2 linked regions of the Schizosaccharomyces pombe genome follow. The protein of the gene in region 2 purifies or fractionates together with the protein of the main gene of each other region. This does not show direct contact. Each region holds a gene or a part of one and is shown on either strand. Other genes may lie near its edges.

Evidence for each region. Proteins that work in one complex are often made in the same cells at the same time.
Region 1: the proteins of srx1 (region 2) and tpx1 purify together in Schizosaccharomyces pombe (affinity purification with western blotting, with the first as the bait; one study listed by BioGRID). This does not show direct contact.

Annotation. Positions count from the first base shown.
Region 1 is NC_003421.2:2,083,585-2,088,334, forward strand, and holds tpx1 (thioredoxin peroxidase Tpx1), read right to left. Parts: upstream 2,136-4,750; 5' UTR 2,031-2,135; coding exon 1,452-2,030; 3' UTR 1,358-1,451; downstream 1-1,357. Other genes in the region: BAX inhibitor family protein Bxi1, read left to right, coding at 3,293-4,093. UniProt on the Schizosaccharomyces pombe protein: Thiol-specific peroxidase that catalyzes the reduction of hydrogen peroxide and organic hydroperoxides to water and alcohols, respectively.
Region 2 is NC_003423.3:375,046-379,777, forward strand, and holds srx1 (sulfiredoxin), read right to left. Parts: upstream 1,968-4,732; 5' UTR 1,792-1,967; coding exon 1,417-1,791; 3' UTR 1,208-1,416; downstream 1-1,207. Other genes in the region: dual-specificity protein kinase Mph1, read left to right, coding at 1-880; SPOM_SPBC106.03 (steroid dehydrogenase), read left to right, coding at 3,582-4,655. UniProt on the Schizosaccharomyces pombe protein: Contributes to oxidative stress resistance by reducing cysteine-sulfinic acid formed under exposure to oxidants in a peroxiredoxin. May catalyze the reduction in a multi-step process by acting both as a specific phosphotransferase and a thioltransferase.

The DNA.
Region 1 (4,750 bases), on a different chromosome or scaffold from region 2:
TTCATAAGAATAACTTTTCACTGTATGCCCAGTGTGTTGGATACAAGCAGATTTACAAACATCCTTTTAAAAAATCATTTTGGGAAGCAGTCAATCTCGTTTATACTGTTGTATTTCTTTACATTCGCCTTTTTCCAGTCTTCTTCAGTTTAGAAACATTGGAAGGCTGTGAATGAGCTATATGGTACGAGGCAAAGTAAAATATTATTTTACTAATAATAAAAAATAAAATGCGACTACAATTAAAATTTCTATTTTATGTATCTCTATCCATTTATATTGACTTGAATGAACTGAAAACCTATTCTTCTTTATATCTCGAAAATTCTCGTTATGTCAGCAATACTACACTACGCTATGCTACACTACGTTGCGTATCACTATATGTCATATGTTGGAATACTAGCTAAGATCCGTTTATTGATAATCACGGGTAACTATCCTTCTATATACATAGATACCCGTTGATACAAGTATTTAGAAATATTATAAATAGCGTTACAACTGAACCTCGTTCCTCAGTTCAGTTATGAGCTATATTAGTGATAGGTAACATTATAACCCAGTTAATACAATACCTATACTCAGTTGCTACTTATACAACCTGTGTATTGTAATATAATAGACCACAAGGAAAACTCACCGCAGTTCTACGTATCCTTAAATCAGATACCAAACTGCGTAGCTTACATGTTATCGCAACGAGCGTAACTCGTTTAACTCCCTTTGGGCCTGATAAGGAAGATGCGGGTGAAGGGAGTGAAATCCACGGACTAACCTTCTTTTAACCACCGAAGTCTACCCCAGATAATCTGAGGTAGCAAGTCACTTGGTATGTCAGTGCGTGTCGGTGCGTTACAAAACGATAGACGCAAAGCAAAACAATGAGAGGATTTAATTTTTTTAGGTTCCATTTTCTTGGTATAAACTAAAACATAGGTTGCCTTTTTCTTTTGTTTTGAATTGTCGTCATGTTGTCAAAAGGCATAATAATACAAACGAGTTCAATAAAACACAATGTAATCACTCAAATCATTATAACCAGTTCATCCATATACTTAAAGTTGACTTCAAATAACTTTATACAGTATTTATAATTATAAATAGTTATATAACTTACGAGCAGCATCCCACACATTTGTAGCTTTAAACAAATGTATACGATGCATTAAAAAAGTCGTTTCTGAAAATATCATTAATTAATGAGAAAAATAAGCACATTAGCAGACGTCCCAATTAAATAATTTCCTTTTAGCAGATCCGCACTCTGCTAATTTACGCAATCCACCCTTGCCTCACGAGACATTACGATGGTATAGTATGATACACACACAGTTACTACCTCAAACTTTGAGAATATAGGCAAAAAAGGAGATTCATAAACTAATCTAAAAAGATACGAGACAAATCGTGTTTGACTCTCGTTGACTACACTTGCTCAGAAAATTGATCTAGTGCTTGGAAAAGTACTTCTCGGGGTTTTTGGTGTCAATGGTATCGGAACCCTTGTGCCAGTTGGCAGGGCAAACCTCACCGTGCTCCTCAACGAATTGGAAGGCATCGAGAAGACGGAGAGCCTCGTCGACAGAACGGCCAACGGGGAGATCATTGATGGTGATTTGACGCAAAACACCCTTGGGGTCGATCAAGAAAAGACCACGGAAAGCAACACCGGCATCCTCGATCAAGACACCATAGTCACGGGAAACCTTATGGCTAGGGTCGGCCAAAAGGGGAATGTTAATGCCACCAAGGCCACCTTCCTTACGAGGAGTGTTGATGAAGGCAAGGTGAGAGTACTCGGAATCGGTGGAGGTCAAGATGACTTGAGCATTACGTTCAGCAAACTTGGAGGCGGCCTCAGAGAAAGCAACAATCTCAGTGGGACAAACAAAGGTAAAGTCAAGGGGATAGAAGCCCAAGAAGACCCATTTACCCTTGTAATCGGCCAACTTGATTTCCTCGAAAGCACCGTTAACAACGGCAGTACCCTTGAAGTCGGGAGCAGGTTTACCGATTTGCAAACTCATGATTATAGATTAATGATATGGAATTTAGGTAGGTTTGGAACAAGTTAAGACAGTTGCTGAGCCCAAAGAGAATCGTACTATTTGGATGTTGTATCGAAAGACACTGGAGAAAAGAAGCGGTGAGGGCATGTCCCTTTATATAGGACAGGATCTGCAGCCCCAGCTGACATACCAAGCTTGCGACTAGACGAGACGCCGATCATTCCATAACGTTCTAGATTACATAAAGCGCACATCCACCCAATCGATGAGATATGCATGAAGTAAGCAAGTGAGCTTAGTCAATAATTAGGCGATAATGCAAATCGCTTGTTAACGATAAATTCCGTTCTGGACTTGTGCTTACACTATCAATATATACAGAAAATGAAGGAACACCGGTGGACCTATTGACGAAAAGGAACGAGCTATAATAAATAAAATAAGGAAATATGTTGCGGTGTGTAGAATTAAAAAAACTATTACTGCACTTGTAGAGGAGAGACGGTGTGAATCTTCATAGTCGAAAAGGAGAGTCTTAGAAAGAAGGATCATCTTTTTCTAAAGAAGCTTACAAAAAGATTTACGACGAAAACAAAAGGTAATGTACTGACATTTTGCTCCACGGTCCTCCGGCTTAGTATTATACCTCGAAGTGGCCACCTTTTTGTTGTAGTGGACAAAGATGGTTATATTACTATATAAGGATTTACGAAATAATAAGTAATTCAGGTTTCATCCAATCTTTCTCATCGTGTTTGTTTCCACGTTTCCTGCTGTTTTTTTCTTGCCAGTCTTGTTTATAAAATTGACTCTTCTGAGGAAAACGGCTTGAACCCTACACTGCTTTGCCTCTCTTCAAATTACATTTACGCCTCCTTATTAGCTTCTTTTGTTCTCGACATTTCTTGAAAACGTTGCAATGGTTCATGTAAAAGTCATTTGCAATTTCCATAGTGTTCTATGCATCGTCTGTCCTCCACTTTTGGTACGTGGGTCCTCAATTCTGTTTTAACGTAATTGAACACGATCACTATATTATCCATCACTTAATCTTGCTACTATTTATCTACTGACTTTCCCCTTTACCACGCAGCGCCATCGACTAAACATATTTGTGTTTTTTATTATCTCCTTCATATTTCAGTAAATTACAGGTTTTTTCTTTTTATCTCAATTTATTGCTTACAAAAAAACCTTAATTCTATTATATATAAGGCATTTCCTTCGCAACTATCCATTTGCTATTCGTGTTTTAAGGTATCTTCTTTTGTTTTTCAATCATGCCTGCAAATTACCAATCTGTGCCTCAGGATGATCCTTCAGTGCCAAATTTGGCTCAGGCTCCTCCCGCCTATTCCGAATATAATGAATCTGCTACCGAAAATCCCGCTGTTGATCAATTTAAAAATACTACGCCCGTTGCTGAATGCGCCAAAAGCATTCGCATGGCCTTTTTAAGAAAGGTTTATGCCATTCTCACTGCTCAGCTTTTTGTCACTTCTTTATTTGGTGGCATTTTCTACCTACATCCTGCTTTTTCTTTTTGGGTTCAAATGCACCCATGGTTCTTGATTCTCAACTTCTTCATCTCTCTGGTTGTTTTGTTTGGTCTAATTATGAAGCCGTATTCCTATCCGCGTAATTACATTTTTCTTTTCCTTTTCACTGCACTTGAAGGATTGACTCTGGGTACCGCCATCACATTCTTCAGCGCTCGTATTATTCTTGAAGCTGTCTTCATTACACTTGGAGTGTTTGTCGCATTAACGGCTTTTACATTCCAGTCAAAATGGGACTTCAGCCGACTTGGAGGATTTCTATACGTTTCTTTATGGTCCCTTATCCTCACCCCTTTAATATTTTTCTTTGTACCATCTACGCCATTTATAGACATGGCTTTTGCTGGTTTCGGAACACTTGTATTTTGTGGTTACATCTTGTTTGATACATACAACATCCTTCACCGTTACTCACCGGAGGAGTTTATTATGTCGAGTTTAATGCTTTATCTTGATTTCATCAATTTATTTATTCGTATTTTGCAGATTCTTGGAATGCTCCAAAATAATGACAATAACTAAACTAATTCCCACTGGGCAGCATGTACATGTTTAAGTCCTTGTCAACTTTTTGATTGCTGCACTTTGTCATCGTTACGATGCTTTTTTTTTTTAAAAAATGCGGTTCTTTTTTCTCTTCACCTAGGTCTAAAAGTGACAGGGGATTAATTCCCGGCATGGCCGTTGCATACTGTGTATATTGTTGAACCATGTATGTGCTAATTATAATGTTTGCTATGAATTTTATTATTTTTTATTATTTGTTATATTGTTAATGATCTCGATCTGCTCATTTTTACTACCCAAACGAGCGTATCGATGAATTCAAACGACATTCCTTTTTTTAGCAGCATGAATGGAAACGCTGTATTTAATTTCGTTTTCAATCCTTTTTTGTTGCAAAAGGTAAATTCCAACAACGGTGACCGTTAAAACTAAATGGTTGTTGTGAATGTTATTTCATGTGGGTCTTCATGCTATCTGTTAAAAAATGTTGAGAGTGTTTGTTTGAATATAAGGTTTCTATATTTGAATTTAATACTATTAGATCTGAAGAGATCTTAAGTAGATACTTGTAAACGTTATTGAGGTTAAGTGGGAGTTATTTACTGACACGGGCAACTGTAAGATGTAAGCGATTGATGATTGTTTTATTTGGACCATAAACTTTCAGTTGTT
Region 2 (4,732 bases):
TACTTTAGGGCAACTCAATATGGTGATGGAATGCGGAGAAACGGATTTAGCAAACCTTTTAATGAAAAACATGAAGAAACCCATTAATCTTAATTTCATCAGAATGTATTGGGAGCAAATGCTAGAGGCGGTCCAGGTAGTTCATGATCAAAATATAGTGCATTCGGATTTGAAGCCGGCCAATTTCCTGCTTGTAGAAGGGAATTTGAAGCTGATTGATTTTGGCATTGCCAAAGCAATTGGTAATGACACCACTAATATCCATCGTGATTCCCACATCGGTACTATTAATTATATGGCACCTGAAGCTTTGACAGACATGAATGCTCACACAAACTCTGGCGTGAAACTCGTAAAGTTGGGCAGGCCCAGCGACGTGTGGAGTTTGGGATGTATATTATATCAGATGGTGTATGGGAGGGCCCCGTTTGCTCATCTAAAAATGATCCAAGCTATAGCAGCTATCCCTAATGAACAATATCACATTCATTTCCCCGAAGTTGCCTTACCTGCTAATGCTGTCCAGGAGAAAGAGGGATCGTTGCCAGGTGTAACTGTCGGGCCTGATCTAATGGATGTTATGAAAAGATGCCTGGAAAGGGATCAACGGAAGAGACTTACAATACCGGAATTGCTGGTTCATCCCTTTTTAAACCCTTTGCCATCCTATTTGACACCTTTGGCCAAAAAGCCGTTACCTGTTTCTGGGCACACCAATAATGCTCATCCACTTAGACTCAGCACAGAAATCTCAGCTTCTCAATTATCAATGATTATAGAAAGGTCGGTGGAGTTGAGTAAGCACAAGCGATTAAATAAGGAACTTATTGATAGCATGGCTTATGATTGCGTTAGCAATTTACGAAAAATGCCAGAATAGAGGCACTAAATTTTCCGATTATTCTTAAAAAGGTTTTATCTTTTACAAAGTTTCCCAAACATCATACGAGTTTCTTAATGTTAACGACTTTTTTAGGGAGCTTAAAGGCTTTTTTTTTTTAATCTTTAATTTTTCGCTCTTTTAAAAGAAGGTAATTATGACCTTGATTAATGAACCACATATTATATGGCCCCTGATATCTATACTTTGATACTATGTAAATATAAAGAACGCTATACTCCCAAACGCTATAAGTTGTTTGTTTACGATATAATACCTTTTTGTGTTTGTTTTTTTTAGGTAAAGCAACCAAATGAATGATGCTTTTTTATAAGAAACTTTTTTAATATAATTGGGTTATATTAGACATTAAAAAAAAACCCCATAACTAATGTAAAACAAAAACCTTTAAAAATAATGTACCGCCGGTAGAGATGATTATTAACGCCATAAATGTTGGTGCAGGAAGGGAATAAAACAGGTTCAATGGAATATCGATAATCCTAAAAAAACTTGTGAAAAAATCTAAGTTAAATCTAATCACTATCCAAAAATTTATTGGCAGAAGCACCCAGATACAGGCGTAGAGTGTTAGGGGAGCAATTTACCAATTTGCAGCGAACCTTTTTGCGCCCTGCTTCATCGTGAGCACGTAGTCGATGACAGCCCCCAAAGGCAAAATAATAAGGCTTCCCACTCTTTTTAAACGTTAAAACATCAACAGGAGGAAGCTCACCAGCTTCCAAATCTTCTGAAGTCAAACCGCATGAAGCTGGAGGAGTTTTCCCTGTCATGGTTTCCATCATACTATTGACTTTGTTCATATCTAAAACAGGAGGTATAGGACGAATTAACTCAGACATATCAAGCTCAACAATGTTGTTATTTGAGCCAGTGTGAATCGAAGTCATGATGGTTAAAAATGAATGAAAGAAAGAATATAAAAAAGATAAAGTGAACAGAAATTTTTATAAATAGAACAGAAAATTATAAAAAAAGGCAAGTTAATAAGAATGGAAAAGTGGATATTGATATCGAGTATATTTACTCCTTGATCTGATATCGTTTCCTGTTGTACTAATGATCTGCCCCACAACCTATCTTATCCCGGTATGTATATAATAATTTACAAATATGACATCATTATCAAAGATGAATCGATACTTAAAATCTTATGTAAAAATTTGTCAGCATGTTAGCGAAACACGTTAAACCGACTAGGACAAAGCAACGTGGTTACGTTACGAGGTCTGGGTTTGTGTTCTTAGTAAGGTAGTTGGAGTAGCTTATTCATTAAATGTAGATGGCAATAAAACACTATTGCAAAGATGTCAAAGTGTAGAATGATGCTACCTAAATAGAATTTCAAGCACAAATACTTAGGTATAAATAACTTGGAGTCGACGGAGAACTGTAAATGCACGAGTACATTCAAAAATGTGTAAACAAAAGGTTCACTTTCTGAAAACGCTTTCTAAAATGTGACAGAGATAACCGACACAAGATCATTAAAACAATATGAGTATTGTTTTCGAATGGTGAAAGAAGCATTAGCTAGTTGAAGAGTGCAAATTTTGGTTAAGAAGAAATTCATTGGTAGAATGTAGGCTTGAACCGTTAGTCGTCAACAAAAGTGGAATTTTAAAGATTGCATCTGAAATCCTTAAATTTTAAGAAAATCCATCCTTAAGTCAGGATTAAGAAACCATAGTATATTATTTTGTTTGTATAAGTTCGGCTGCTATATTTGCTGAGGCCAAATTGATTCTTGGCCAACGTTTTATATCATAAGATTTGAAGGCAATGTAGCAAATTGAATATTAGATTATTTTAACACTTTAAAAATGTTAGGTAATGTAAGGAATAACATTTCAATTTAAAGAAGGACTGAGCGACAAATGAAAGGCTGTTCTTTTTTTTACAATTGTTGAGACAATTACAAGAACTATGGTACACATAAAAACTTTTAAAGAGTAGCAAGGTTTTAATACAATTCTTAAAGTTTTTTGAGCAAACAGATCACAATGATCCTTTCATATGTACATGCTTTAGAGAAGTAAGGTCAATACTTCAATCGGACTTCTCATCTACAATGAAAACGCGAATTTCATAATAAATACTAATCATCCATCCGTTCTCTCATATCCTTGGTATCCTTTATCCTTCCCATTAGTCAATCTCTAAAGCCATTAATCCTCATTTTTTTATAATGCCATCGCTCAATTCCCGCAAAACATCAAACCTTTTATGAACAGATACTATCATTTACTTACAATATGTTTTTAGCAACATAGCTTCCTATTAGCCTGATGTGAGATTAACTTCGATAAACTTTCAATATTAAAACTTGCATTCGATTTGAATCATCTTTACTGCCATAAAATAGAATTGCGATTTAGGATCAAGTTAGCACGACATCATGGTGTTTTCCAATATTCGCGACCTGTTCTCAACCACCACTCACCACTTCATTAATTCCAAGTTTTAGAATTCTTTAGCTTTTTGAAGTATTACTTGTGAATTCCTCAAGTGATAGTATTTATTGTTGAAATTGCTAAATATTTTTCAATTTCATCCTGCATTGTTTCCTTCTTCAAACATTATATCAGGGAGAAAATTGAAGTGTTTTTTTGCCTGGAAATCTAATCCAATTGCTACGAAAACGAATTATCATATCAAAAAGGTAGAATAACATTAAAAAATGAATCCTGAACGCTGGGCTGCCGATTTAGTCTCTAATGTTAAGGATTACGGCAAGCGAATCATTGACTATGCTCATGAAAAAACTAGTAACCCTCAACCTGTTACAGTTCATACTACAAACAGTGCCAAGGGAAGATTGGGAGAATTTCTTTATCAAAATAGAGTATCAGTTGGCTTAGGATCGGCCGCTTTGTTCCTTGCTGGATTATCCTATTACAAACGCTATGATTATGTACGCAAGCGTCGTGCTCCACGTGCACCCAACCACCAAAAAACCCAAGTTGTTGTCTTATCTGCGTGGAACCCTCTCGCCTCAGTAATTGCTCACGATTTGGATCGTCGTGGTTTTATCGTCGTTGTTCTTGTTCGCGATGCATCTGAAGCAGCTACTGTTTCTCTCCAACAACGCCCTTACATTCAATCTTTGATTGTTACTCATAATGAGGCTGTTGAACGCTTCCTTTTGTCTTTTTCCAATCAATCTGGCCCTAAGGAGTATGCTTTGCGCCTACGTGGTCTTATTCTCGTTCCCACAGGAGATTCTTTGTACACTCCAATTGAGAACATTGGAAAAGATGCTTGGATCAGTGCTTTTCAACAACTCAGTGAATCTTTCTCTAACGTTTCTCGAATGATTCCTCTTTTGAAAAGTCAAAAGGCCAGAATCATTGGCTTGTCTCATGGTATATTATCCGCTTATGAGCCTCCCAATTATGCTGTTCCATCTATTCTTTCTTCTTCCATTGAAACTTTCTTGCGCACTCTCAAGCGTGAAACGGGCTTACAGGTTATTTGTATCAAACTTGGAAATCTCAGCTTTTTGAATTACGATCATTCTAGCTCTCCAGGTAAAAGCAATTATCCTCCTTCGTTGTGTACGGAACGTAAGGTTCTAAACAAAATTTTTGACTCCTTGCTTGGTTGCTGGCCCTCTCCAACTCGCCATGTTGGTTGTCGCACCTTTTTCATGGTCACAGTATCACGGTTCCTTCCTACGTGTGTTATTGATGGGATTTTCTCCTTGTTTGGAAAATTTCACTTCTTTTCCTGCAGTCTTATTAAGCGCAGCTAAATACTTGTATGGAGCCTCAGTTCTCTCTGTTTCCTTGTCAAATTGAACTCATCCCATGTCTATCATGGTTTGGTATA